3 linked regions of the Anolis sagrei genome follow. The protein of the gene in region 2 purifies or fractionates together with the protein of the main gene of each other region. This does not show direct contact. Links are inferred from orthologs where the notes say so. Each region holds a gene or a part of one and is shown on either strand. Other genes may lie near its edges. The genes, in order: EPS8, SOS1 and FRS2.

Region 1 (9,793 bases), on a different chromosome or scaffold from region 2:
TACATGGCTTAAAGGGCGTGTAGGCAAAATAACCAATGTGTAAGATATATAAACCTCACTTGCCTAGTTTCCAACAGACCTCACAACCTCTGGTGCCTGCCAGAGATGTGGGTGAAATGTCAGGAGAGAATGCTTCTGGGACATGGCCTACAGCCCGGAAAACTCAGTGATTCTGGTCATGAAAACCTTCAACAACACAATGTATAAGGATATTAGAAATGTATACCAATTAGTCCAGCATTGAAATGACGACTAGGTAGCAATAGACCAAGTTAGACAGTAAACGGAGACATGAGTGAACATTAAACATATATCATTAAAAGCAGTTGGAAATGAATTGCATTTGAAATGGCTAACGCAGATGTTTATTAAAAATGTATCATAGCCATCATAAAGTACAAATGAGTTTGCCAGTATTACAGTATCTTAGTCCGCCTCCTCTCCATATGCTAAAGCGCATAAATGTGTTTTCAAAAGTTTCTTAAAGGAGAGGAGGGTAGGGGTCGTTCCTATTTCTTTAAGGAGGGAGTTTCAGAGATGGGAAGCGATCACAAATAAGGCCCCCTCTCTCATTCCCACCAGCCGTGCTTGAGATGGGGGCCTCCTCCACTGACCACAGTGCATAAGGGAAATGTGATTGATTGAAATAGTCTGGGCCCAAACTGTTTGGGGCTTCATAGCCCGGAAGCGGACTGACAACCAGTGCAGCTGTCACAGCATGGGAGTCATCCACTCATGATATGGAGCTCCAGTTAGCTATCTAGCTGTCCATCTCTGCACTAATTGCCCACCGGAGCACCCAGTGTTTCTCAACCTGGGAGTCGGGACCCCTGGGGGGGTCACGAGTGGGTGTCAGAGGGGTCGCCAAAGACCATCAGAAAACACAGTCTTTTCTGTTGGTCATGGGGGTTCTGTGTGGGAAGCTGGGCCCAATTCTATAGTTGGTGGGTTTCAGAATGCTTTTTGATTGTAGGGAAACTAAATCCCAGCAACTACAACTCCCAAATGTCAAGGTCTACTCCCCCAAAATCCACCAGTGTTCACTTTTAGGCATATTGAGTATTCATGCCAAGTTTGGTACAGATCAATCATTGTTTGAGTCCACGGTGCTCTCTGGATGTAGGTGAACTACAATTCCAAAACTCAAGGTCAATGCCCACCAAACTGTTCCAGTATTTTCTGTTGGTCATGGGAGTTCTGTGTGCCAAGTTTGGTTCAATTCCATTGTTGATGGAATTCAGAATGCTCTTTTATTGTAGGTTAACTATAAAATCCCAGCAACTACAACTCACAAATGACAAAGCCAATCCCCCATAAACTCCACCAGTATTCAAATTTGGCCCAGTGAATGAAAATACATGCATATCAGATATTTACATTACAATTCATAACAGTAGCAAAATGACAGTTACAAAGTAGCAATGAAAATAATGTTATGGTTGGGGGTCAACACAACATGAGGATCTGTATTGAGGGGTCGCAGCATTAGGAAGAATGAGAACCACTGGTTAAATACTTGTGCTGGTAGGACTACTGATCGACAGGTTGGTGGTTCAAATCCAGATAGCGGGGTGACCTCTTGTCTCAGCTCTAGCTTCCCATTTGGGGACATGAGAGAAGCCTCCCACAGGATGGTAAAGTATCAAACATCTGGGCATCCCCGGGGCAACGTTCTTGCAGATAACCGATTCTTTCATGCCTGAAGCTACTTGCAGTCGCTCCTGACACAGGGAAAAAATGCAGCTTCTGAACTATCTTCAAAGGCAGCCCCACATAGAGAGATTGTAGTAGTCCAAATGGGGATGTGACTAAGGCCAAGTCCGGGGTCTCCCATTGAGATGTGGGGAGGCTGTTTTCTGCTATTCTAAAGACCAGGACAGGGAGCAATGGATTCACATAGCAGGTAAAAAGATTCCACTTAGGAAACAATTCATGGGGAAATTCTTACAACAAGGATCAAATTCAAGCAAGAACTTACATTTCCAGGACTATTTGACAATGAGACACAAAAAGGAACATGAGAGAATAGTGCAGTACATGTCAACATGTACTCTCTGTAGAGACACCAAGGTGTTAGTTTACAAAACTATTGTCCTCCCAACTCTGCTATATACCTGCAAAATGTACACTGTCTACAGATGTCACACTCAACTCCTGGAGGCAGGCATGTAGCCGGGGGGGGGGGGGGGGGCTTCAGCCCCCCTCCCCCGAAATTCTCATGATGGTCTGCGAAAAGGACTTACTGGTACATTATTTAAACTGTTATGTTTATTCATATCATGATCTGATCACCATGCTCAATATATCTCATATGCATGGGGGTATTGGGGTAACGATACAAAAGGTTTGCTAGGGTAGATCCTCTTTCACTCAGACTCAGCCCCCCCCCCCCCCCCCCCGAATCAAAATCCTGGCTACGGGCCTGCCTGGAGGGATTCCTTCAGTGCTGCTTCTGAAAAATTCTGCAAATCTCTTGGGAAGATAGGCAGACAAATGTCAGCGTGCTGGAAAAAGCAAGACCACCAGCATTTAAGTGATACCCTTATGCCATCAACTCTGTTGGACCGGCCAAGTGGTCCAAATTTCCAACCACCATCATTGAAGTGATGCTGCTACGCCATCAACTCCGCTGGACTGGCCACGTTGTCCAAATGCTGGATCACTGCCATCCAAAGCAGTTACTAAACTCCGAAATCAAGAAGAGGAAATATAATGTTGGTGGACAGGAAAAGAGATTTAAAGATGGGCTTAAAGCCAACCTTAAAAACTGTGGCATAGACACCGAGAACTGGGAAACCTTGGCCCTTGAGTGCTCTAACTGGAGGTCAGCTGTGACCAGCAGTGCTGCAGAATTCAAAGAGGCAGAATAGAGGGCGAAAGGGAGAAATGTTCCAAGAGGAAGGCATGAACGGGACTGCCTTCCACCTGGAAACTGATGTCCTGACTGCGGGAAAACATGCAGATCAAGAATAGGTCTCCACAGACACCTACGGACTCACCGCCAAGACACTGAACTTGGAGGACCATCATCCTCAGAAGACGAGGGATCGACTAAGTAACATGTCAACATTGGAAAGAGTGTTATACGCTCAAAGGTGGAAAGCAACAGATATACCAAGAGCTGTTTGATAGTGGAATATGTTGCCTTAGAGCAGATATGGGCAAGCTTTGGCCTTCCAGGGGGGTTGAACTTCAACTCCCACCATTCCTAACAGCCTCAGGCCCTTTCCTTTCCCCCCACAGCCGCTTAAGCGGCTGTGGGGGGAAAGGAAGGGGCCTGAGGCTGTTAGGAATGGTGGGAGTTGGAGTCCAAAACACCAGAAGGGGCAAAGTCTGCCCATAGAGTCCATAGCGTCTTTGAATCAGTCTAGATGACCATCTGTCAGGAGTGCTTCCACTGTGTGTTGCCGCCTGGCAGAAGGCTGGACTGGATGCCCTTTGGTGCCTCTTCCAACTCCTTGACTCTCCGAAAGAGAGCTCCAAGGAGGTCCTCAAAACCATTGAGGAGCAGCAGAGGAGAAGCTATGGAAACTATACCTCCTAGCCCAGAAAGCAATGGAAACCAAGGGGTACATCAAGCATCTTCCCAAACAGAAACCCAGCTGGAAAAGGAGGGAGGGAAGGCACAGGTGTGGCCGCTCAACGCTCAGGTTACAAGGTAAACGCGGAGCGAGGGAGGGAGGAAAGAAGGAAGGAAGGGGAATCGAGTCGGAAGCAGCCTTGATCCGTATAGATCCACCTTGGAGACCCCGCTTCCCTGTCTCCACAGCGAGGAGCCCCTTTCCCCCGAAGCTGCCATTTTGTCACCGCAACACCGCTCCGAGGGGGTCGATTCACACGTTACGCGCGCCTTGACACGCAAGGCAGGGCGACTCAAGGGGAAACACGGGTCTCGAGGGTCAGGAAAGGCAGTCGAGGTAGGAATCTGCCTTGATTCTTCCCTCCCAAACAGAGCAGCCTTTCCCCAGCTCGAGAAGGGTAAACACAGCCCGCACCATCATCCCAGTCTCTCTGCTTACCTGGGCTTCTTTGCCTCCTTCTTCCTTCCAAAAGCGCCCCTCGTTCAAGGGAAGAAGGGTTGCAAAGGGACGCCCCGACAGGTCCCAAGACCAGCAAAGGCGGCTAGGCGACCGTCCCAGGCAGGAGGGCCGCCTGAGGCACGGAGGAGGTCCTGGAGAAGCGGGTGGAAGGAGCAGAGCCGCCGCCAAGCCGAACAAAGTGCAGCCGGAGCGAGGCAATCCCGCGCCAGGTTCCAAAGTGCCCGCCTCTGCCTCTCGCTGGCCTCGCGTTCGGGGCTTTTCCCGCAGGCACGCGCGCCCCCTGGTGGACGAACCCAGACTCTGCTGGCCGAGCAAGGCACAGGTTGATCCAGTAGGTGGAAATCCACACCATATGTCAGTCGTTCCCAACCTTTATTATTATGATTACCAGGGACCACTTTGACCAACATTAGTACCAATAGGTTGTTGTAGGATTTTTCGGGCTGTATGGCCATGTTCCTGGCCTGTAGCGAGGGGGGGGGGGTTAGGGGTTCAACTCCCCCCCCCCCCCGAAATGTTTCAGATTTTTTAAAAAACCCAGTTTACTCATGAATTTTAACTGGTTAACCAAATCCCCATGGTAAGTCTATGAGATGCAAACAATTAAGAATCCCTCCAGAACTACAAGCACTATCTCAAGCAAATATTTATTTATTTGTTGTTGTTCATTCGTTCAGTCGTCTCTTCGTGACCTCATGGACCAGCCCACGCCAGAGCTCCCTGTCGGCCGTCACCACCCCCAGCTCCTTCAAGGTCAGTCCAGTCACTTCAAGGATGCCATCCATCCATCTTGCCCTTGGTCGGCCCCTCTTCCTTTTACCTTCCACCTTCCCCAGCATAATTGTCTTCTCCAGGCTTTGCTGTCTCCTCATGATGTGGCCAAAGCACTTCAACTTTGTCTCTAGTCTCCTTCCCTCCAGTGAGCAGTCGGGCTTTATTTCCTGGAGGATGGACTGGTTGGATCTTCTCGCAGTCCAAGGCACTCTCAGCACTTTCTTCCAACACCACAGCGCAAAAGCATCGATCTTCCTTCGCTCAGCCTTCCCTAAGGTCCAGCTCTCACATCCGTAGGTGACTACAGGGAATACCATTGCTTTGACTAGGCGGATCTTTGTTGCCAGTCTGATGTCTCTACTCTTGACTATTTTATCAAGACTGGACATTTACTTATTTATTTATTTATTATTCGAACTTATATGCTGCCACTCCCCTGGGGCTTACAAGAACAGGCTAAAATCGAACACAATTTAAAAACAATTTAAAAACAGCAGTATCAGAGATCAAAGGCCCATCGAAACACATATGTCTTACATGCCCTGCGGAAAGCTGATAAGTCCCGCAAGGCATGGACTTCAGGTGGCAGAGTATTCCAGAGTGATGGTGCCACTGCTGTAAAGGCTCTGCGTCTGGTTGCTGTTAGACGCAAGGTCTTGACACTGGGAATTTCCAATAGATCTTGGTCCTCAGAACAGAGGGATCTGTGGGGTTGGGAGGGGGTGAGGGTGAGGTGGTCCCTCAGGTACATCGGCCCCAGACCATGAAAGGCCTTAAATATTGACAATTTATTCACACTGTCATTACTAGCAGCAATAGCCGATGTAGTGAAGCAACCAAGTTGGGTGTGTGTGTGTTGAATGCTCTCATTAAAGAGGCCAGACTTGGTGGAGTTGGTTGACAGGGGCGGAGCTGCAGGCTATTGAAGGCTGCTCTGCTCCCTGCTGTACTCTTTGCTTCAGCGTGAGCTACAAGGCAGGTTTCAACCCCCCCCCCCTGAAAATTTCAAAAACCCCCCCTGAAAATTTCAACCCCTCCTGAAATTTTTTTCTGGCTACGGCCCTGCCATGTTCTAAAGGCATTTTCTCCTGACGTTTCGCCTGCATCTATGGCAAGCATCCTCAGAGGTAGTGAGATCTGTTGGAATTAGGAAAAAGCGTTCATATATCTGTGGAATGACCAGGGTGGGACAGAGGACTCTTGTCAGTTGGAGCTAGGTGTGAATGTTTCAACTGATCACCTTGATTAGCATTTGATTGCCTGGCAGTGCCTGGAGCAATCTTTTGTTGAGAGGTGATTAGGCGTCCTTGTTTGTTTCCTCTCTGTTGTTGTGCTGTTCTAATTTTAGAGGTTTTTTTTTAATACTGGTAGCCAGATTTGGTTCATTTTCATGGTTTCCTCCTTTCTGTTGAAATTGTCCACATGCTTGTGGATTTGTGGAAGAGCCCTCAGAGTCACAAACATGGTAGCCCTTTCTCTTAGCTAAGAAACCCTGGTACCTTGATCATTTCAAGCTGCAATGCTTTCAGTTTTGTCAGAACGATTTCCATGGAACCCTATGCATCCTACTCTTGAGCAGACATACCTAAGATAGTGCTTGTTGTGGACCACCTCACACTGCAATTGTAGAATAAGTGCACACAAACAGACGGGATGGTGGGATACCACAAAACTTGTGACAAGCCCCAGCTCTAAGAACTGGCTCACACAAACATCCCAGTCATTATGCTTTTTTAACTGTGATGTTCAGAACTGAACACAGTCCAAGGATAATGTAATGTAATATTTATCCAGCAGCATATTTTACTTGAACTTGGACCATCTCTGAAGCATCTGCCCAGCACTTGAACCTAGGAGTAGACTCTAGAGACCAGGGGTTGATTCCTCACTGAACCATGGAAACCTATTGGATGACCTTGAGCAAGTCACACGCTCTCAGCCCTTGAAAACCTTGTTATGAGAGTTGCCATAACTTAGAAACAACTTGAATGTACACAACAGCAACAGCAGATAGCTGCTGAACCCCAAGTGTTTTTGACCTATAGCTCCCATCATCCTTAGCTGGCATAGCCAATAATGAGAGATTATGGAAAGTGTAGTCCAAAAAGATACAGAAATCCACTGTTGCCTAAGTGACTCTAAAGACTTTACTGTACTAGTTCTCCTTGTCTCGGTCTGAGTTGTCACCAAATCCAGATGTTTCTGTCAATGTAGATGACCTGAAACTAGAGATAGAATACTCAACTGATTTATTATTAGGCAGATTAATTTGTATTAATTTCCTTAATTAGTGGCAGACCTATTTTACAGATTTGTTATGTCCCTTCAAAGTCTATTCCAATTTATCTCAAACCTATCACTAATTGTCAGGGCAAGGTTTTCTTCAGAGGTTTGCCATTGCCTTTTTCATAGGCTGAGAGTGTGACTTACCCCATGAATTTCTATGTTTGAGCAGATATTTGAACCCTTTACTCCCAGAGTCATAGTCAAATATTCCAGTTGCATCAATGGCATGCAGGGGAATCAATCTCACAGAATACATTGAGGGTTACTTCTGATTAAATACACATAAGCTTGGACTGATAGACTGTTAGACTTGATTGCATTTCCATCTTGTGCTGTTATAACAATATGCTACATATATGAACAGCTTGGAAAGTAGTTTAGCACGTAATTAAAACCAATGTACTACCTTGCACATCTCTGACCGCATCCAAATTTGGAAACCAAGTAGGACTTGGTCTTGTTCATGCTTGAAGACCCTGAGAAAATCCCAGGGACCTCCAGGAAGGGTTAGGAAGGAAGGGATGCTGCCTGAAACCTTGGAAAGCCACATTCAGTCAAAGTTGGCAATACTGGATTGAATGTACTAATGATCTGGCTGCACGTAATTCAGCCTTCTCTTCCTATGAAGATAATTATAAATTGGAAGAGATATCTGAGAAACACTTTCTATATTCCAGGAATGGGAATCTGTAGTCCTCCTGATGTTTCTGTGCAGAAACTCTCAGCTTTCTTTACCATCTGGCTGGAGCTGCTGGGAGTTGCAATCCAACAACCTCTGATGGGCTACATGATTTCCTCCTCTGTGTATCATAGAGCTGAAAGGGACCCCAAGACCACTGGGGCCCATTCCCTGTTAAATTCAGGATTTCCAGTGAAAGCATTCCTGGGAGATAGCCATCCAGTCTCTTTTTAAAAGAGAAAGTCATCCATCTAGGAAATTGGTTTGCTTTTCAAACCACTCTTAATGTCAAGATGTTCCTTCTAATCTTGTTGTTACTTGTTGTCAGGTCAGCTCCAACTCATGGCAATGCTATGAAAGAGAGTCCTCCAAAAAGCTCTAGTAATCAACTTCTCATTTCTGGTCTTTCAGGGCCCTTCCACACAGCACTATATCCCAGAATATCAAGGCAGAAAATCCCACATTATCTTAGTGTGGACTCAGATAACCCAGTTCAAAGCAGATATTGTGGAATTTTGTGCTTTGATATTCTGGAATATAGGGCTGTGTGGAAGGGCTTACAAACTCAGCGCCATGGCTTACTTGACTGAGCCAATCCACCTATAGTACATTCTTCCACTTTTACTGCTGCCTTTCACTTTGACAAGCATTGTAATATTTATAATACACATAATACAGTAGAGTCTCACATATCCAACATAAACGGGCCGGCAGAAGGTTGGATAAGAAAAAATATGGGATAATAAGGAAAACATCAAATTACATTATGATTTTACAAAACAAGCACCAAAAGATCATATTTTACAACAAATCAACAGAAAAGGCAGTTCAGTACACAGTAACATTATGTAGTAATTACTGTATTTATGAATTTAGCACCAAAACATCACAATGTGTTGAAATAGCTATGGATCCAGGCAGGAGGCAGACTGCGTTGGATAATACACAACTTTGGATGAGTGAAGGTTCGATAAGTGAGACTCTACTGTGTTATGATATAATATCATGGTATTTCATAATAGACTGGGGGCCCTTCCACATAGCTGAATAAAACCCCACATTATCTGCTTTGAACTGGAATATATGGCCGTGCGGACTCAGATAACCTAGTTCAAAGCAGATATTGTGGGATTTTCTGTCTTGACATTCTGGGTTATATGGCTTTATAGAAGGACCCTAGATTTGCTTGTTATTGCAGTGTGCCTCCAAGGGCCCTTCCACACAGCCATATAACCCAAAATATCAAGGCAGAAAATCCCACAATATCTGCTTTGAACTAGGTTATCTGAGTCCACACGGCCATATATTCCAGTTCAAAGCAGATAATATCGGATTTTATTCAGCGGTGTGGAAGAAGTCCAAGTCATTTTCAACCTATGGTGACCCAAAGACAAACCTATCACAGTGTTTTGCTGGCAAGATTTGTTCAGAAGAGGTTTGCCATCACCTTACTCTGAGACTGAAACAGTGTAACTTGCTCAAGGTCACCCATTATGTATCATGGCTTAACAGGAATTTGAACCCTGATCTCCAAAGTCATAGTCACACTCTCAAACCACTATGCCATACTAGTTCCCTGGTTTTTACTTAGAACCCATTTGCTTGACTTTATGTTGAACTGTCTTCCAGCAAGCACCAAATGGGTTGATTTTCAGCTTTCATACCCTACTGCCATCTGCCCATATAGAAAGCAAAAATGCTATACTACAAACACAGAGACACTGGGATGTGATGTGTGCAGCTAAATCGTATTTGTAGATATATCTAGTGAAATTCCTACCCTGCAAAAAATATTCAGTAGTCTGCAGGAGAATGAAGAAGGAGAGACAGGAAGAGAGATGACAATCCTGCAGCATCCATAAGCAAGTTCCAACCTGTGTTACTTTATACAATCTTGGTATATACGTATACTGCCTGGCAGTGAAATGATCATCGCTGAGGCAACAGCTGCAAGGATTAAAACCAAATCAGGAACTATAGATTACATTCTCCTGGCCATGAGGGAGGGAGGGCA
Region 2 (10,494 bases):
GTCTGAATTCAATTTCAATTTGTTCACCCTCATCCAGACCATCACAGCTGAGAAGCACTGGTTCAGGACCTGAACAGCCTCTTTGGTAGCAAGTGGGAAGGAGTGATGGAGTTGAACATCGTCTGCGTACAAGTGACACTGAACTCCAAAACTCCAGATGATGTCTCCCAGCGGCTTCACATAGATGGGAGACAGTTACATCCCGTATAGACTACTGCAATGTGCTCTACATAGGGTTGACTTTATTATTATTATTACTACTACTACTACTACTATTGTGGGTTTTTATTCTGATGTGGAAGGAGCCAGAGTTGAAGGCAAATAACAAACTTCTAGCTTTGTTTTATGATCTGGCCTGGGGGTGCTGTGGTTCTGTGTGCTTTTATAGTTTCAACCTGAATTGTTTTGAATATTGATGATGTTTAATACAGTTTTAATATTTGTATAAATCAGCTGGAACCCCTTCCCCTCAGCACCAACTGCTTCTCTGAGCCAGAGTGAAGAGAGAGGGGGCCAGGAAAGCAGTTCCACCTTGTCTCCTGTGCTATACTAATAATATAATATAATATATTCATATACATATACATATATATATAATGTAATGTAATACAATATAATATTACTAACACAATATTATAATTATATATTTTATATTAGATGTAATATTATTAATAATATTATAATATAATGGTATAGTACAATATTTTAGATCTGCCGGGGAGGCCCTGCTCTTGGTCCCATCAACTTTGCAAACGCTACTGGTGGGGACGAGGGACAGGGCCTTCTCGGTGCTGACCCTCCGCCTGTGGAATTCGCTCCCCAGCAAAATTAGATCAGCGCCCTCCCTCCTTTCTTTCAGAAGAAAACTGAAGACATGGTTGTGGAACCAGGCTTTTGGCTAATGGATATAACAGCACCTGAACATGGAATTGGACCAGACGACGATTGTTAAAATGGAAATGCCTTTATGATTGATAATTAATGCTGTTTTAATGGTATGATTTTATTCTGCTTTTATAATTGTAAGCATTGAGGCATCGAATCGTTGCCATTGTGAGCCGTGCCGAGTCCCTCTGCGGGGGTGAGAAGAGCGGAGGTAAAAATGATGTAAATAAAATAAAATAAATATAGTAATATATAATACTGATATTGTGCTATGCCAATAATATAATATATTGTATGTATATATCTTGCATCGAATCATTGCCATTGTGAGCCGCTCTGAGTCCCCCTATGGGGGTGAGAAGAGTGGGGGTAAAATGATGTCAATAAAATAAAATAAATAAAATAAATATAGTAATATATAATACAGATATTGTGCTATGCTAATAATATAATATATTATATATATATATATATCTTGTAAGCCGCTCTGAGTTCCCTTTGGGGTGAGAAGGGCGGCATAAAAGTGTTGTAATAATAAAAAACCAAATAAATAAAAGCGGCACCCAACATGGCCAACTTCTGGTCAAAGGAAATTTTGTATAATGTCAAGTTTTTAAAATTGCTGAACAACTGACTATGGTATGTTTAATGCGTTGCTTTAGGCACATTGTGCCATATGTAAGCCACCATAAGCTCCTTCAGGGAGATGGAGGTGGGGCACAAAAATAAAGTTTCTTTATTTATTTAGAGCTTTTATAACCTGGTTTTCTCGACCTCTGAAGAGGGACTCAGGCCGGCTAACAGCAGAAAATTCATACACACATAGAATAAACATAATAGCATCATAATACATTAATACAAAAATACATTAAAATACAGATCATACAATTACAAATCCAGGTCGTCAGAGTAAAATCACAAATTCATCACCATCTGCCAGTATGGTCAGCCGTTATTGACTCAATCATCATTCTGCAAATGCTATATTCCAAAGCCAAGATTTTACCAGCTTTCTGAAAGTCAGGAGGGAAGGGGCAGATCTAATCTCCAACGGGAGAGAGTTCCAGAGCCGAGGGGCCACCACCGAGAAGGCCGTGCCCCTCGTCCCCACCAGACGCGATTGCGAAGGAGGTGGGACCGAGAGCAGGGCCCCTCCAGAAGATCTTAACAACCTTGATGGTTCATAGGGGAGAATCTGTTGTTGTTCATAGGTGAGAATCCGTTGTTATTGTTGTTGTTGTTATAATAATAATAATAACAATAATAATACGAAACGACTCCAGCCCAATTTACCTGTCCGAACGTATCCTCCCCTATGAACCATCAAGATTGCTAAGATCGTCTGGAGGGGCCCTGCTCTTGATCCCACTGGCCTCACAGGCGCGGCTGGTGGGGACGAGAGACCAGGCCTTCTTGATGGTGGCCCCTTGACTCTAGAACTCCCTTCCACTGGAGATCAGAACTGCCCCTTCTATCTTAACGTTCAGGAAACAGGTGAAAATTTGGCTTTGGGGATTGGCATTCGACGAATGAGCCATGATCCTGTGACATGGATGGGTGACGATGAATAATGATTTTTGATGATGACTGACCACTGCAATTATATGATTGTATTTTGCTATTTTAATGTTTTAGTGTGATTTAGAATATGATGTTTTAATGACTGTCTGTAATATTGATGTTGGAAACCGGCCTGAGTCCCTCGAACGGAGGTGAGAAGAAGACCAGTATACAAAACTGGTTCCGGCCCAAGATACCTATCCAACCGCATCTCGACCTATGAGCCCACCAGGACTTTGAGATCTTCCGGAGAGGCCCTGCTCTTGATCCCGCCTGCTTCACAAGCACGGCTGGCGGGGACGAGAGATAGGGCCTTCTCGGTGGTGGCTCCTTGGCTGTGGAACACCCTTCCCGTGGACATTAGACTGGCACCTTCCCTGATGATATTCCGCAGGAAATTAAAGACTTGGTTGTTCAAGAAGGCATTCGAATAAGAAGTGCAATGGTTGGTAATGACTACAGGAACGGAACAACGGGAAATTATATTGGATTGTGGTTTGGACGATGAGACGACGCTGAATGGTTTTCGTAGTAATGATGTTTTTGTATAATGCTGGATTGTGAATTGTTTTTATACTGTGTCGTGAATTTTGCTGTTCCTATGTTGTACACCACTGTGAGTCGCCCCCGGGCTGAGAACAGTGGTATAGAAGTAAAATTAATTAATTAATTAATTAATTATAGGTTTTTGTTCAGCTGTGTGGAAGGGGCCAGAGTTGAAGGTAAACAACAAACTTCTAGCTTTGTTTCATGATCTCCGTTTTGGAGATCTAGTCACTGATCTGACCTGCTTTCAATGACGTTTAATACATGTATATTTGAAGTTGTATTGCCACGCTTTAGTTGCGAACCGCTTTTGAGTCTCCTATGGAGAGACAAAGCGGGATATAAATAAACATCAGAAGATGAGTTCCAGAGCTGAGGGGCCACCACCGAGAAGGCCCTGTCCCTCATCCCCACCAGACGCGATTGTAAAGGAGGTGGGACCGAGAGCAGGGCCCCTCCAGATCTTTAACAACCTTGATGGTTCATAGGGGAGAATCCGTCGTTGTATTATTATTATAGGTTTTTGTTTAGCTGTGTGGAAGGGGCCAGAGTTGAAGTTAAACAACAAACTTCTAGCTTTGTTTCATGATCTCCGTTTTGGAGATCTAGTCAGTGATCTGACCTGCTTTCAATGACGTTTAATACGTGTATATTTGAGGTTGTATTGCCACGCTTGAGTTGCGAACCGCTTTTGAGTCTCCCTAGGGAGACACAAAGCGGGATATAAATAAACATGAGAAGATGCCCTGCTTCTCCTCCTTGGAAACACGGGACTCACCTTCTTCAAGGCGGGCACCAGCAGGCCCCGCCACTTGGGCGCGTTCTCCTCGCTGAAGAAGTCGTACTGCAGCGGCGGCGCCTGCATCCTGCCCGCCCCGTCCCGGGCCCTCGGCGTCGGGGAAGCGGCGGAGTCAGTGCTGGGGCCCAGCCCGGCCTGGTGGGGCCTGTCCCTGTCGCTGGGCCCGGGCCGAACCTGCGCAGGGCCGAGGCGGAGGGCGCCGCTGAGGCTGAGGCTGGGGCCAGGACCCGGCGTGGAGGCCCGGCGCCGGCGACATCCCTCCCTTCCCGGCCTCGCCTCACGCAGACCCCGGGCTCTCCGGCATCCTTCTCCTTCTGCTTCTCCTCGGCCCTGACAGGAAGGAAGCGGAAGTGCAGGCCGCAAAGCAACGGTGGCTGAGGGAGGGAGCCAAAGAGGGCTTCGAACTCTCGGGGGCGCTTCCCTTGCCGTCCCTGACGGTTGCAACCTCCGGCGCGTGCGCAGTGGGCACAAAGGCCGACCGGGCATGCGCAGTCGCGGCGCGCTCCCCCTCCCCTCCTCCTCCTCTGGCTCCGCCCCCCTCTCGCTCCAGTCCTGGCCTCGCTTCTTCCCTTTTCCGCGCCGTCCAGGCGTGCGAGTCGAGAGCCGAGCCCTCGAGCTTCCTTCCACAACCTTGCTCCCCCTCCCCTCGCCACTTCCAGGCTTGCTAGTCGAACGCCGAAGTGTTTTCATGATCGGTGGTGGAGGGAAGACAGCAAAGCAGAGCACCTCTTGTCATACCGCCACCTACCCCTTCTGATCACAGCGCCACCTGCGGCCTGGAGGACTCAAGTATTTTTTTTATTAGTCATTTCAATACTGAAAGGGTTTCAGGCCTTTTCAACAAATTGGTTTTATTTATTTATTTATTTGCTTTATTTCTACATTTTTCAGCCTAATTAGGCGACTCAATGCGGTTTACACAATGCAGGTTATCACAACAATAAACAGTTAAAAACACATCATACACAACAACAAAATCAACAATTATTATCAATTCATGACGCCTCGATAACAGAACAAAATCAATTCTCATAATCCTTGTGCCATTCCTATGTTCAATTTTACCGTCTTCCTGTGTTCAGTTGCACTGTTTAGCCAAACGCTTGCTCGTAGAGCCAAGTCTTAACCTTCCTCCGGAACGCCAGCAGCGTCTGATGTCTACAGGTAGGGCATTCCATAGCCGAGGGGCCACCACCGAGAAGGCCCTGTCCCTCGTCCCCGCCAACCGTGCCTGTGACGCAGGCGGGACCGAGAGCGATCTTAATGTCCGCATCGGTTCATAGGTGGAGATGCGTTTTCAGGCCAATCCAACAAATGCTCCATTCAGCAAAGGACAAGAGGGATCCTCTCACCTCTGCAGGAGTCTACCGTATACCATGCAGCTGTGGACAAGTCTACATAGGGACCACCAAACGCAGCATTGCCCAAACACGAGGCCGAACAGGGCATAGGGTTACAGCCTGTGCTGGATGGGGTCGCACTCCCCTTGAAGGCGCAGGTTCGCAGCTTGGGTGTGACCCTGGACTCATCGCTGAGCCTGGAACCCCAGGTTTCAGCGGTGACCAGGGGAGCATTTGCACAGCTAAAACTTGTGCGCCAGCTGCGCCCGTACCTTGGGAAGTCTGACTTGGCCACGGTAGTCCACGCTCTGGTTACATCCCGCCTACACTACTGCAACGCTCTCTACGTGGGGCTGCCCTTGAAGACGGCCCGGAAGCTTCAATTAGTCCAATGTGCGGCAGCCATGATTCTAACAGGAGCGGAGCGCAGGGAGCATACAACCCCCCTGTTGCGACAGCTCCACTGGCTGCCGATCTGCTACTGGGCTCAATTAAAGGTGTTGGCGTTGGCCTATAAAGCCCTAAACGGTTCCGGCCCAAATCCTGTCCAAACGCATCTCCTCCTATGAACCCACCAGAACTTTGAGATCTTCCGGGGAGGCCCTGCTCTCGATCCCGCCGGCTTCTCAAGCACGGTTGGCGGGGACGAGAGATAGGGCCTTCTCGGTGGTGGCCCCTCGGCTGTGGAACACCCTTCCTACGGACATTAGGCTGGCACCATCCCTCATGGCATTCCAAAAAAAGTTTAAGACCTGGATGTTTGTGCAGGCGTTCGAGTAATCTAGTGCAATATTTGGTAATTGAACATAGGAATGGAACAATGGACAATGAACCTGGACTAGGCTTTGACGATGAGACGATTGGGTTTGGTTATTGTAATAACTGTTATTATAATTGCTTATTGTTTATTAGTGGATAATGTGTTAAGTGGTCTATTGTTACGTGTTGCATTGAATTATTGCTGTTTTTACTGTGTGTGAACCGCTGTGAGTCGCCTCCGGGCTGAGAACAGCGGTATATAAGCAAAGTAAATAAATAAATAAGGAACATGAAAGGCACTGCAGACTACTTCAACCAGAGAAGTCAGCCATAGAAGAGCACCTGATGAACCAACCTGGACACAGCATATTATTTGAGAACACAGAAATGCTGGACCACACCAACAACCATCATGTCAGACTACACAGAGAAGCCTTTGAAATCCACAAGCATGTGGACAATTTCAACAGAAAGGAGGAGACCATGAAAATGAACAAAATCTGGCTACCAGTATTAAAAAACTCAAAAATTACAACAGCAAAACAGCAGAGAGGAAACAACCAGGCACATCTTAACACCTTTCAACAAAAGATTCCCCCAGGCTCAGCCAGGCCTTCTAATGCTAATGAAGGTGGACAGTTGAAACATTCACACCTAGCTCCAGCAGACAAGAGTTCTTTGCCCCACCCTGGACATTCCACAGATATATAAACCCATTTTCCTAATTCCAACAGACCTCACTACCTCTGAGGATGCTTGCCATAGATGCAGGCGAAACGTCAGGGGAAAATGCCTCTAGAACATGGCCATATAGCCCGAAAAAACCCACAAGAACCTGGTTTCAGGCCTATTTAACCCTGAGTTTTATCTTAAGGACAACGAGCCCTGGGTGGCACAGTGGGTTAAACCCCTGCACCAGCAGGACTGAAGATCAACAGGTCGTAGGTTCGAATCCGGGGAGAGTGCGGATGAGTTCCCTCTACCAGCTCCAGCTCCTCATGCGGGGACATGAGAGAAGCCTCCCACAAGGATGATAAAACATCAAAACATTTGGGCGTTCCCTGGGCAACGTCCTTGCAGACGGCCAATTCTCTCACACCAGAAGCAACTTGCTGTTTCTCAAGTCACTCCTGACAAAAAAAAAATCTTAAGGACGATGATTATGTCATTACCGCTCAAGTAGGGAGCTTTGAGATGGTTGAACAGAAGCTCATAGCACAAGTACCCTTACCGCCTACTACAGGGAAAACCAGCTGATTCTAATCCATCTAAAACACAGACATGTGCCTTTCACCTTAAGAACAGACAAGCATCCCGAGCTCTGAGGATTATTACCTGGGAAGGAATCCCACTGGAGCACTGCAGCGCACCGAAATACCTGGGAGTCACTCTGGACTGTGCTCTGACCTACAAGAAGCACTGCCTGAATATCAAGCAAAAAATGGGCGCTAGAAACAAAGGCTGCACGTTTTCAATGACCAAGTGCTAGGTCATCTGCATATATGAGAGTCCAGGGACACATAGTCTGCCTAGTCCATGCAGAGTCTGAATAGTAATGTTGAGAGTGCTGATCCTTGAAGCACGCCAACAGTGATGTTGAAGGGTGGTGAAATCTCTGCAGGGCAGCTGACCATACTTGTATCATTGTATAGTAGCTTTATCCATTGGTGCAACAGCTATGTGACTTCATAGTCCAATTTGATTTTTCATAAGTTTAATGAGCGCTGACTATATACCTTTGTGTAAACTTGCTTGCTCTTTTGTAGATCTTTTTTTCTTTTCTCTTTTTTCCCTTTTTTGTTTTTCTGTTGTCTGCTTTGCTTCTTGTGTACACTATAAAACAATAAAAATTAAAAAATAGTGATGCTAGAAATGTAGCACCACAGTCTTTGAGCATTTTCCAAATTTCAGCTGGTATGTCATCTGGGCCAGTGGCCTTTCTATGCTTCTTTCTTTGTATGGCTGCATTTACTTCAGTGACTGTGATAGCTGGTACTGGGCCGAAGACTGGAACAGAGCTTATTACTGGTGGGAGGGGAAATTCTATATTACTGTAGGGAAAATAGTCAGATCATATTTGTAGGATAGTTTGAGTGTTACGCAATATTTCACCATTTCTTTACCATTACTCACAACCGCTTTCTACCTGAGAAACTTTTACATGACCCTAGACATATAACTGTAAAACTCTAATGTTTACTGATAATACATCAGTATTTTCAGGCTGATCTTTCTTTTTATGAACTACAGCTGAAGCATTTTCTGCAGAGTCCACTGTAAAGACTGCATGTTGTTGCTAGCAGGCTCATGTAAATGGGTAGCATTCAGAAACTTTATTGTTGCCAAATGTTTTATGACACCAACACTGAGCAAAGACCCAAAGTTTATGAAGTGGTTTGGTAGATGACCTTTAAGAGACTGCCTAATTTTATGCTCCATTACAGTATTTTAGTTAAGATGCTTTGTCCATTCCTCAGATGTTTAATTTCTTCAGAAAATGAGTGCAGATGGCAATCCAGATATACAACAAACATGTTAAAAAAAGTTTATTTTACATTATATACATTAGGAAATATCCAAAAGCATTACCAACAACATCGATACAGACCATAAATCACTTTTAATGTAGTTATTCTTAGTTTATATCACAGTATAAAGAACATATACAAAAAAAGCCAATATGTGCATTTCCCAGCTAAAACTTGGCATATACATATTACTGCATTGGAAAACAATCAAAAATCTTTTCGCTCAAAATTAAAAATTCCTGTGATGTGTAATAAATCATTTAAATTGTTTGTGTGAGGTAGTAACTAAATCATTTTGGCCGGGTGTTAAGACATTAAAAGGAAAATGTGAAAAACAGTAGTAAGGCCAAATATTTTTTAAAAGAAAAAAGGCCAAATTAAGACAATTAATTCATTGCTGCGGTAACCGACAACTCATTTTCATACGAAGAACAGTTGTTCTGTGGGTGTATTCCCATATGGCAGTAGGTTTTAAGCTTCTGGCCTTAAGAGAAATTAATGTGTTTCCTGAATAAACCCCGGCATATTGCATGGGATTTTTGGTACAGGGAATACACCATTCACACAGGTTATTGGGTTATGTATGTTTGGGTCTTAATCTCACCCCACAGGAATCAAGTGAGATCTCATGCTACACTCCCTGCTCCACAATAACTGCTTGAGACAAGGGAAAAAGTAGGGGAAAGAATGCTTTCTTTTAGGAACCCTTTCCACTATTGCTGAGAAGCTGAATGCTCTGTGAGGAACTCCAGAGCTTCCTGGAATATAGCTTGAAAACCACTATTCAATGAAGACCCCACTACTTAAAGAAAAATAAGAGCAGATGGATCATTCTGCTATCTGCATGTGAAAACCACTATGGAATCTCAGGGTGCATAGTTATCCTATGACGATTAACAGAGCAGCTATGCAGAACAAAATGGGTGAAACTACTGGTAACTAGCTAGGGATGCTACTCCTGTCCTGCCAAGTAGGACACCTACCTCTTAAATGAGAGAAACATGCATATCTTTATCATAATTCGAGTGCGAATGAATATCTGTGAAGTACTGCAAAGAGTACTATTTATGTGCAGTGGCCTTTTCGGTGCAAATGCCTGGATCTAGCGCCAAAATATAGCAACCACTTCCACAATGTGGAATGTTTTTTAATTTTTGCATGATATGGGTGGCACTGAAGAACAAAAACAAATCAAAATAATCCTTATTTTAACATTGTATACATTATAATTATGCCAAGGTACCACTATTTGCGATCCCCCCCATTCAAAATATTTACTTTATTCCCCCAAGCGCAGAAAATAATTAGAGAATTTTCCTTAAATATAAAAATACAGGTGTTCGACTGGCTAGTTTCACAAAGAAAACTATCCAAATAAACTAAAACACCCAAATCATATCTACAAAGTCACAGCTTACTTTTGTGACTAAATACATCACATATTAATACTTTGTGCAACCAAACACCAGTGTACTTGCATCAAATTTAAAACAAGATTGTAACAGGATTAACAGCCTTGGTTACAATGTCTAAAAGGTAAGATTTATTTGTATTAGTAAATTACATAATAAAATACAATAGTGTTATCTGAATGCACTGTTTAGCGCTAGTATCCATTCTTTTTTTTTTAAAAAAAGTGTCCTTAAAATAGTACCCCAAAAAGCAATTCCTTGTCCTTAGCTATCTTTACACATCTGTACAAATAAGACATTCGACCACTATCTACATAAAATCAAGAGATGCCTCCATTTCAACGAAGAAATACTGCATATATGTACAAAGATTACATAATAGTGAACCAAGCACTTATGTGATATAAATGCGCTAAATGTGTCCATAACATTCAGGCAAACATTCTTGCACTCATTCGCTCACACGCCACAATAAATTACAAACTAACTGAAGTTGGGGTACTGCTGCTTTTGTGCAATTTCAGCCATCCATAAGTGTCGAAGCAGTAGTGTTCTCTTGTCAGAATTAAATTGCCATGCAGATTGCTTCTCAGTAACTGTTTTCATGGCCTGCTAAGATGTACAAGTTGCTGTTGGCGGTAGGGTTATCTGTGGGCCGACTCTCC
Region 3 (9,912 bases), on a different chromosome or scaffold from region 2:
CAATATCTGCTTTGAACTGGGTTATCTGAGTCCACACTCAGAGAATGTGGGATTTTCTGTCTAGATATTCTGGGATATAGGGCTTTGTGGAAGGTCCCTGAATTGACGTGATATTAAGATTGAAATACAGTAATTAAAAGGAAATTAAAACAAAGACAAACTTAATGTAACCCAGTTTTGAAAAACAGTTTTGTGAATGCAATATGCAAATTTATTTATTTATTTGCGACATTTATGTGCCGCCCTTCTCACCCCAAAGGGGACTCGGAGCGGCTTACAAGTCATATGTATATTGGGAGGGATAGCCAATAGTCCAGAGGACAGGAGCAGAATTCAAAACGATCTTGACAGATTAGAGAAATGAGCCAAAACTAACAAAATGAAGTTCAACAGTGACAAATGCAAGATACTCCACTTTGGCAGAAAAAATGAAATGCAAAGATACAGAATGGGGGACGCCTGGCTCGAGAGCAGTACGTGTGAAAAAGATCTTGGAGTCCTCGTGGACAACAAGTTAAACATGAGCCAACAATGTGATGTGGTGGCAAAAAAAGCCAATGGGATTTTGGCCTGCATCAATAGGAGCATAGTGTCTAGATCTAGGGAAGTAATGCTACCCCTCTATTCTGCTTTGGTTAGACCACATCTGGAATATTGTGTCCAATTCTGGGCACCACAATTCAAGAGAGATATTGACAAGCTGGAATGTGTCCAGAGGAGGGTGACTAAAATGATCAAGGGTCTGGAGAACAAGCCCTATGAGGAGCGGCTTAGGGAACTGGGCATGTTTAGCCTGAAGAAGAGAAGGCTGAGAGGAGATATGATAGCCATGTACAAATATGTGAGAGGAAGCCACAGGGAGGAGGGAGCAAGCTTGTTTTCTGCTTCCTTGGAGACTAGGACGCGGAACAATGGCTTCAAACTACAAGAGAGGAGATTCCATCTGAACATTAGGAAGAACTTCCTAACTGTGAGAGCCGTTCAGCAGTGGAACTCTCTGCCCCGGAGTGTGGTGGAGGCTCCTTCTTTGGAAGCTTTTAAGCAGAGGCTGGATGGCCATCTGTCAGGGGTGATTTGAATGCAATATTCCTGCTTCTTGGCAGGGGGTTGGACTGGATGGCCCATGAGGTCTCTTCCAACTCTTTGATTCTTTGATTCTATGATTCTATGTATAGTAATTAAAAGCAAATTAAAACAAACAAAGATGAAAATGTAGTTTTGTGAATGCAACATGCAATTTTAATATTATTTCTTGGATAATTTTCCAGTTGCTTGTGTTCCTGTTACATGAGAGTCTGTTATATATATGGTTAAAAGATTGATAGCAGTACAGACGTCTAGAAGAAGCCTAGACAATTTAAATATTGTAGCAGTCACAATCTTTATGCTGTAGAAATAGTATGCTGCGGAAGGTTGTTTTTCTCAGACAGCAGTAACAGAGTATTTTTTTGGCTAGGGCTAACTCTCGCAGAGAGAAAAGTGGTTAAAAGGTCAGAAATGTGTGGGGTCCAGACCAGAAGCACAGAGTAATTATTATTCTCCTTTAAAGCCGCCCTCTTTTTCATGTGCAAAAGGGCCTCTCGCAAGTATGGCCCAAGAAGTGATTGTGAGAAGTGATCTGGTGAGGAATGAGACTGACTCCAGCGAACTAAAGGAGAACATGGGAAAGAATACGGGACAATTTATTTAACAGATATATTCCACTCGGCATAAAAACAAGTTATGCTGGTTGACTGCTTCTTCCAGGACTGAGCTGGCTACTTTCTATCACAATAGAGGTCACAGGTGAAAATATGTCCTCTATGCGGCCTAATCTCCATCACAAAAGCCCTACACAATGGCCGTTCTTCCTTGTGAGAGTGCAAGGACTGGAATAATAGGGGCATGACAGGTCAAGATTGAGATGCCTTGGGAGAAAGAGAAGCTAATGCTGGCCCCAACCATCCTGAGCTGTTTGGGGCTGAGATACATGCCTCACTTCGGAGGGATTATTACCCACTGGACTTACTTCTGGGGAAATATGTTTGGATGAGGATGTAAGCCAGAAACTCATGCAAAATATCAGCTAGGAGAATAGTTGATTCAGGCTTATGTTAAATGTGTAAATTAAATAAAATTGCTATGAAACATAATGGAAAACAGAATTATATTTATTATAACACAGCGAATACCTTGTACTCCAAAATTGCACAAATAAGTGGAGTATTATGTTACTACCAATGCTATCAAAATTATTAAGAATATTATGGGAAGACTTGCTATTTCTCCTTTAACACATTGGATGTTAATAACTTGCTGAATATTTCATTTTGGGAAATACTACAAGTCTACTTCATGTTATCTTTCAGTACTTTCAGTGTAACACATTTGTATTAATATAATCTGAATTTATAAATGGTTTCATCTGTAAACCAATTTGATTAATCTGTTCTGAATTGGGAAATGGTTTCCAAGAAACACACCTAATAGTGCTATATTGGGTATGTTTCTCGGAAACTGTTTCTAAATATATTATGATGCTACACTTGGCTATTTCCCAAACAAAGGAAAGTAGAGGGAAATAATGGATTGAATTTGGAACTGACCTAATGAGGTGATGTTTATAAAAGAAGGGCATACAATTTATTGGTTTGACTTTCACCCAAAGATTCAAATTATGTAATCTTTTAGAGATAGAGCAACCTAGTTCTAAAAGTGTCAGAGGATTGATCGAAAGGTTGGCGGTTCGAATCTGGGGAGTGGAGAGAGCTCCTGCTGTTAGCCCCAGCTTCTGCCAACCTAGCAGTTCAAAAACATGCAAATGTGAGTCGATCAATAGGTACTGCTCTGGCAAAAAGGTAACAGCGCTCCATGCTATCATGCTTGGAGGTGTCTATGGACAACGTCGGCTCTTCAGCTTAGAAATTGAGATGAGCACCAACCCCCAGAGTCGGACACAACTAGACTTCATGTCATAGAAACCCTTTACACTTCCCTATGTAACAAAATTTGAGAGAAAAAAATCTGTTCCTGGTTTGAAAGTGTTATTTCCTATTTAATTGTGCTATACTTACTTTGAAAGTAGTTGTTATACTTCAGAAATTTCATTTTTGTGGCTGAAAGAAACTCTGGTGAATTGATTGAGAATCTATCAGATATTAATTTAAAAACTACAGCAAAATGTGCTTCTTGCATGTTTTATGATAGCAGCAATTAGGAAATTATATTTATAACACAGGAACAAAAATGGTGTTCAATGTGTTGTTGAAGGCTTTCATGGCCGAAATCACTGGGTTGCTGTAAGTTTTCTGGGCTATATGGCCATGTTCCAGAAGCATTCTCTCCTGATGTTTATCCTGCATCTATGGCAGGCATCCTCAGAGGTTGTGAGGGCTGTTGGAAACTAGGAAAAACTGGGTTTATATATCTGTTAAATGTCCAGGGTGGGAGAAGGAACTCTTGTCTGTAGGAGATGTAAATGATTGAATTGACTACCTTGATTAGCATTTAATGGCCTAGTAGTTTTCAAGGTGTGGCTTCTTATTTATTTTATTTATTGTGTCAAGAGCGAACCAAACAGTTGTATTGTATTAAAAACAAACAAAACACAAAGTTTGCAAACTTGGCATTCTATTAAATGTCCTTTGACCAGTAGCTGGCCACTTGGAGTGCCTCTGGTGTGGCTATAAGAAGGTCCTCCATTGTGCATGTGGCAGGGCTCAGGTTGCATTGCAGTAAGTGGTCTGTAGCTTGCTCTTTTCCACACTCGCATGTCGTGGATTCCCCTTTGTAGCCCTATTTCTTAAGGTTGGCTCTGCATCTCGTGGTGCCAGAGCGCAGTCTGTTCAGCGCCTTCCAAGTTGCCCAGTTTTCTGTGTGCCCAGGAGGGAGTCTCATTTGGTATCAGGCATTGATTGGGGTTCTGGGTTTGAGCCTGCCACTTTTGGACTCTCGCTTGCTGAGGTGTTCCAGCGAGTGTCTCTGTAGATGTTAGAAAACTATTTATTGATTTAAGTTGTTGGTGTGCTGGCTGATACCCAAACAAGGGATGGGCCGGAGATGTCACTGCCTTAGTCCTTTCACTATTGGTTGCTACTTTCCCAGCGGTGCAACAGTGTAATTTCTCCAGTGGTGTAGGGCGCAGACACTCTGTGATAATGCAGCATGTCTCATTAAGAGTCACATCTACTGTTTTGATGTGATGCAGGCCCGTAGCCAGGATTTTGATTCGGGGGATGCTGAGTTTGATTGGGGGGGGGGGGGGGGGTGAAGATCTACCCTAGCAAACCTTTTGTATCGTTACCCCAATACCCCCATGCATATGGGATATATTGAGCATGGTGATCAGATCATGATATGAATAAACATAACTGTTTAAATAATGTACCAGAATTTGGGGGCGGGGGGGGGGCTTAAGCCCCTCAAGCCCCCCCTCCGGCTACATGCCTGATGTGATGTTTTCCATACTGGGCATGCATACTCAGCAGCAGAGTAGCAAAGTGCAAAGGCAGATGTCTTAACTGGGCTTCTTACTGCCTGAGTGAATCCTTTGTTGAGAGGTAATTAGTTACCTCTGATTGTTTCTTTTCTGGAGCTCCCCTGCCTTTATTTATTGTTATTATTTTAGAGGTTTTTTTAAATACTGGTAACCAGATTTTGTTCATTTTCATGGTTTCTTCCTTTCTGTTGAAATTGTCCACATGCTTTCCTGGCAAAGTTTGATCAAAGTGTGGATTGCCTTTGCCTTCCTCTGAATGTGAGAGAATCCAATTTAGGGTGAATTTACACTATGGAATTGCTACAGTTTGTCGCCACTTTAGCTGCCATGGACTCCTGGGAGTTGTAGTTTGGTGAGGCGCCATTTCCCCCACTAGGCCTAGGCCTGCCTTGCCTTCTACAGTTTTTCCTTCCCAGGCCAGAGTGCCACCTTTCTGGGTTGCTAGGCAACGCATGACTTGAGGGGGGAGAGGGGGGCTTATTTCGGCTCTTGCAAATCTTCCCCGAAGGCCCCTCCCCTTAGGTTCGGCGTTGCCTAGCAACTCAGGAGGGCGGTGCCCTGGGGGGGGGCGTGGCCTAGCCCTCTCAGTGGGTGGTTGCCTCCCTCCCTCCCTGCTTTCCTCCCTCCCTCCTTCCCCCCGCCCGCTGGGTAAGGCGAGGAGCCTCGCCGACGTCAGAGCATCCCGGCGCGCGCGCCCAGGAGAAGCGCCCCTCTCCCTCCGTTTGCCCCGGAAGGAGTCGCCCCCTCGGCCTCGGAAGTTGTCCTGAGCGAGGCCTGCCTGCCTGCTTTCCCTGCCGCTGTTGGTTATCGGAGGTCTGCTTGGCGTCGCGGCGGGGAGAGTCTCCGGCTACCCACGGGCGGCTGGGCCTCATGAAGGAGAAGGTGAGCGGGGAAGAAAACCTTCCGCCAACAGCCCAGGCCGGGCGCCTCTCCTCCTCCTCCTCCTCGGCCTGGCTTGGGAGCCACTGCTGCTGCTGCTGCTGCTGTTGTGAGGAGAGAGATTGAGAGCGGGCGGGAGGAACGCCTTGGGCTTTCCTTGTGGGCAGGGTGGGTGCTTATTAAATGTAGACGCCTCTCTGTTGACGCGCGTCAGTCGTGGAAGGGAGGCTGTTGTCAACAAATGCCCGCCCTGGCTGCGGTTTGGGCTGGGCAGCTCCCTTGGCTGAAGGGGTCATTGACGTGTCCGGCTGGGTGCTTTGCCTCCAGGAAGTGTCTATAATATTGCCATGTCTGTGCGTGTGTGTATGTGTGCTTTTCGCTTTTCAAAGCACCGAAACTACACTTGCGCTTCCATTGCAAGTATAAGGGGTCTCTCGAGGCCAGCTTCCTATTTTTCTGCAGTTGAGTTCTTGATAACAACAACAACAACAACAACAACAATTTTTATTGATTAGCCAATTGGCCTTATCAAAAACAAACAGTGTAGACACAACATGCAATATAATAATAATAATAATAATAATAATAACAAACTTTATTTGTACCCCGCTACCATCTCCCCAGGGGACTCGGTGCGGCTTACATGAGGCCGAGCCCAAATACAACAATACAAGCAATAAAACAACAATACAAGTAATTAAAATTAAAAAAAACCATAGACGATAAAATATACAACATTATCAATAAGACAGCACACAATTAAAAACTGGGAAGCCCAAATGTAAAATTAAAATTGGAAGTAATGCTGGGGCATGGACGAAAAGGTGATAGTGGTGTTTATGGAAGGGCATACGGGCAGACCTAAAGAAATGTAAAGTGCTTTGGAGGACAAAGTGCTATGGGATCATTATTCCGGGAAGGCACACTGGAACATACATCTAGTCCTCTTAAAATAAAATCTAAATATACAGGTAGCTATAGATATATGCATCAACTATCCTCATCTCCCCTACACTGCACCCCAATCTGATCTATGTACTCTGATCTCCTTTTAGCAGCTTTAAACAAATAAAGGGCAACTTTTGTTGTCAGAATGGGGTTATAACCAACAAAAAAAAGGGAAGTTTTGGCCACTGTATCCCTACTGGTTCTACTGCAAATAAAAGGCCATAAGTATTGTTTCTTTATAGAGGTGTAGGATGTGTCTACACCACGCATGGGCAAACTTTGGCCCTCCAGGTGTTTCGGACTTCAACTCCCACAATTCTTAACAGCCAGTAGGCTGTTAAGAATTGTGGGAGTTGAAGTCCGAAACACCTGGAGGGCCAAAGGTTGCTCATGTCTGAGGTACACTGTACAATTAATACAGTTTTACATCACTTTAACTGCCATGGCCCAGGACCCTTCCACACAGCTGAATAAAATCCCTCACTGTCTGCTTTGAACTAAAATTTATGGCAGTGTGGATCCAGATAATAATAAAAAATACTTTATTTATACCCGCCTCCATCTCCCCAAGGGGATTCAAGGTGGCTTACACAAGGCCAAGCCCACAATACAATACATCAGTATACAATAGACACAGCAATAAAATTAATGAAAAAATAAAAATAACATACAAAACAGTACATTATAAATAATACATCAACAAAATAAAATCACATCATTTAAGACGGGGGCGGGGATAAATCTCAGTGGGCAGGGCCAATTCCAAAGGATTAAAAAAATTAAAAACACTAGGTGAGACAGCAGTTTATTGTACCTGGACAGGAGATTCGGGGGATAAATGAGATTGGATTGCACTACTAGGGGAGGTAAAGTGCTTGTGAGGGCATTTGCAGGACTTGGTCAGGTCAGGGAATTCATTCATTCATTGAAGGCATATTGGAACAGCCAAGTTTTCAAGCTCTTCCTAAAGATTGCCAGGGTGGGGCTTGCCTAATATAACTCATTTCAAAGCAGATATTTTGGATTTTTTGTCTTGATTTAGGGCTGTGTGGAAGGACCCCCAGTGTCCTGTTGTAGCTTTGTCAGGTCTTTATCCATTGCCTCACTGAAGTACAACTCCCAAAATTCCATAGCATGCAGCCATAGCAGTTGAAGTGATAACAAACTGCATTACTTCTACAGTGAATGTGCACTCATAGTATGCTGAGCTAGGCAGACACATATTTCCCACATGTCCACTGCCTCTTCTTTCAGAGCACAGAAACTGGAAGAGCCACTAGATAACAAATGTTGCTCATACATTGCATACCTTGATGCAATCTATACAGAGTGTTCCCCAAAAAACGTGTATACAGCCTCTAACAGCAAATAGTAGCTATGGTGATTATTTGGTGGCTATGTACATATATTTATATTGAGGAATGGCTCTTCTTTCCTTTCAGAGCACAGAAACTAGAAGAGCCACCAAATAACAAATATTATTTGCCCGTACTTGTATTCCTTGATGCAATCTATACAGACTGTTTCCTAAAAATGTATACAGCCTCTAACAGCAAATAGTAGCTATGGTAATTATTTGGTGGCTATGTACATATATTTATACAGAAGATTAAATGTTATAATAATGATTTAGTCAGTTACAAATTGCAATTTTATGGAAGGTGTTCAAATGATCATCCCTGTGTAGCAGTGTGCTATTCACAAACCCACAGTTGCAAACTTCACTTGTTTCTCTTGTACTTTAATGACACTTCTCTACTAATGGCATCTTCAATTATTTTAAGGATACAGTATATATATTGGATTGCTGTAAGTTTTTTGGGCTGTATAGCCAAGTTCCAGAAGCATACTCTCCAGATGTTTTGTCTGTATCTATGGCAGGCATCCTCAAGCCCAAAAAACTTACAGCAACCCAGTGATTCTGGCCATGAAAACCTTCGACAATACATTATATATTTTGTTTGAAATAAATTGCAGTAAATAAATAAAGTTCCAGAATTACAAGTAGTTAAGGGTGTATTTGGTGGGGGGGGATGGTGGGAGACATCCTGTATTTTATAATGGATGTCCTTGAGATAAATAACATGGAGGTGGAAGCAAAGACAGATGCTGTCTTGTGTGTTGTTTTTATTGTAGTGATCACTGGCTTAGTTGTGAACCTGCTTTGTAAATCAGTTAAGCTGATGTGCATGAACATATGTAAATTATGTTCCTGCATGTCTCAAGTTGATTGTGCATCAATATAAAACGGCTTAAAACAGACATCCTCAAACTGCGGCCCTCCAGCTGTTTGGGCCTCCAACTCCCAGAAGCTCCAACAAGCTTGTTCAATTGTTTGGAATTCTGGCAGTTGAAGGCCCAGACATCTGGAGGGCTGCAGTTTGAGGATGCCTGGCTCAAAATATTGCAGTCCATTATACAGTTCGAATGTATCCCTCTCTATGAACCATCTTGGAGATTAAGATCTTCTGGGAAGTCCCTGCTCTCAGTTCCACCTCCTTCGCTGGTACAGTTGTTGGAGACGAGAGACATGGCCTTCTCTGTGGTGGCCCCTCAGCTGTGGAACCCCCTCCCCAGTGAGAGTAGATCAGCCCCCTCCCTCCTGGCTTTTAGAAAGAAAGTAAAAATGTGGCTATGGGACCAAGCCTTTGGATAATTGTGATGCAATAAATGAATAAGGAATATGTGCAATGACAACTGGAATGGCTTTGAATTATGATCTTGGACTGTGTGGTTTTAACAATTGGTGTAATGTCTAGATGTTTTAATTTCTTTTGTTTTAATGTACATGTTTATTTTTAATTGTATGTTGTTTTTATGGCATTGAATTATTGCCTATGTGTAAATGCCGCTCTGAGTCCCCTTTGGGGTGAGAAGGGTGGGGTATAAATATGATAAATAAATAATCAGAATAGTAGACATGATTTAAACAGTAATCTCTCAAAACTGGATTTCTGAGGCTCTTCAAATAAAATATAACTTGGTCACTGTGATTTTCACAATACTTTGATTTATTTAATTTGATGAACTGCCTTTGGAGATAAATACTGCTCCTTACACATCAAGACAGTTTGATCTTGTAAGCAGGAATGGAGATGTTTCTTTACTCAGAGATGACCTATAACTGATGACTCCAGTATAGCATCAAGCCTTTCATATTTACCATAGACCTACAGGAATTGAAATGTGTTCTCAACATCTTTTTCCCCCCTTGAACATGTATGTTGTACTTATTTGAGGTAGTGGAAGCAGTGCTTGTGTGTGTGTGTGTTTATTTGTGATGACAAGAAATGGCTTCTGCTGGATGGGGGGAATGCTAGAATTTGCAGTAAAAAGTAGTGTTTCTAGCCTCTAACTTGTTGGGCTTTGACTCTTAATAGCTATGGTTTTTTATTTTGTTTTTCATTTGTCTAACTGTAAATTCTTCAGAAGAAGATTCATGCTTTTATGCCTCTTGTAAAATCTTTGTAATATGTTAGTAAAGTGATTCTGTGTGTGCTTTCAGACTGATGCCAAAATTGCTGAAGGAATTCTAAATGAATCAAGTAACTAGATTTTTGAAGTATGGCCTGAGAAGTAAAGTATGCCAGAAATAGTGACATTTGTTC

Evidence for each region.
Region 1: the proteins of SOS1 (region 2) and EPS8 purify together in Homo sapiens (affinity purification with western blotting; 5 studies listed by BioGRID and IntAct, with this or other methods). This does not show direct contact. The link is inferred for Anolis sagrei from reciprocal best matches to the Homo sapiens genes SOS1 and EPS8.
Region 3: the proteins of SOS1 (region 2) and FRS2 purify together in Homo sapiens (affinity purification with western blotting; 5 studies listed by BioGRID). This does not show direct contact. The link is inferred for Anolis sagrei from reciprocal best matches to the Homo sapiens genes SOS1 and FRS2.

Annotation. Positions count from the first base shown.
Region 1 is NC_090025.1:181,602,757-181,612,549, forward strand, and holds the start of EPS8 (epidermal growth factor receptor kinase substrate 8), read right to left. Parts: upstream 4,259-9,793; 5' UTR 4,020-4,258; intron 1-4,019. UniProt on the Homo sapiens protein: Signaling adapter that controls various cellular protrusions by regulating actin cytoskeleton dynamics and architecture. Depending on its association with other signal transducers, can regulate different processes.
Region 2 is NC_090021.1:22,281,135-22,291,628, forward strand, and holds the start of SOS1 (son of sevenless homolog 1), read right to left. Parts: upstream 4,274-10,494; 5' UTR 3,857-4,273; coding exon 3,770-3,856; intron 1-3,769. Other genes in the region: MAP4K3 (mitogen-activated protein kinase kinase kinase kinase 3), read right to left, coding at 10,419-10,494.
Region 3 is NC_090025.1:143,299,114-143,309,025, forward strand, and holds the start of FRS2 (fibroblast growth factor receptor substrate 2), read left to right. Parts: upstream 1-5,148; 5' UTR 5,149-5,359; intron 5,360-9,912. UniProt on the Homo sapiens protein: Adapter protein that links activated FGR and NGF receptors to downstream signaling pathways.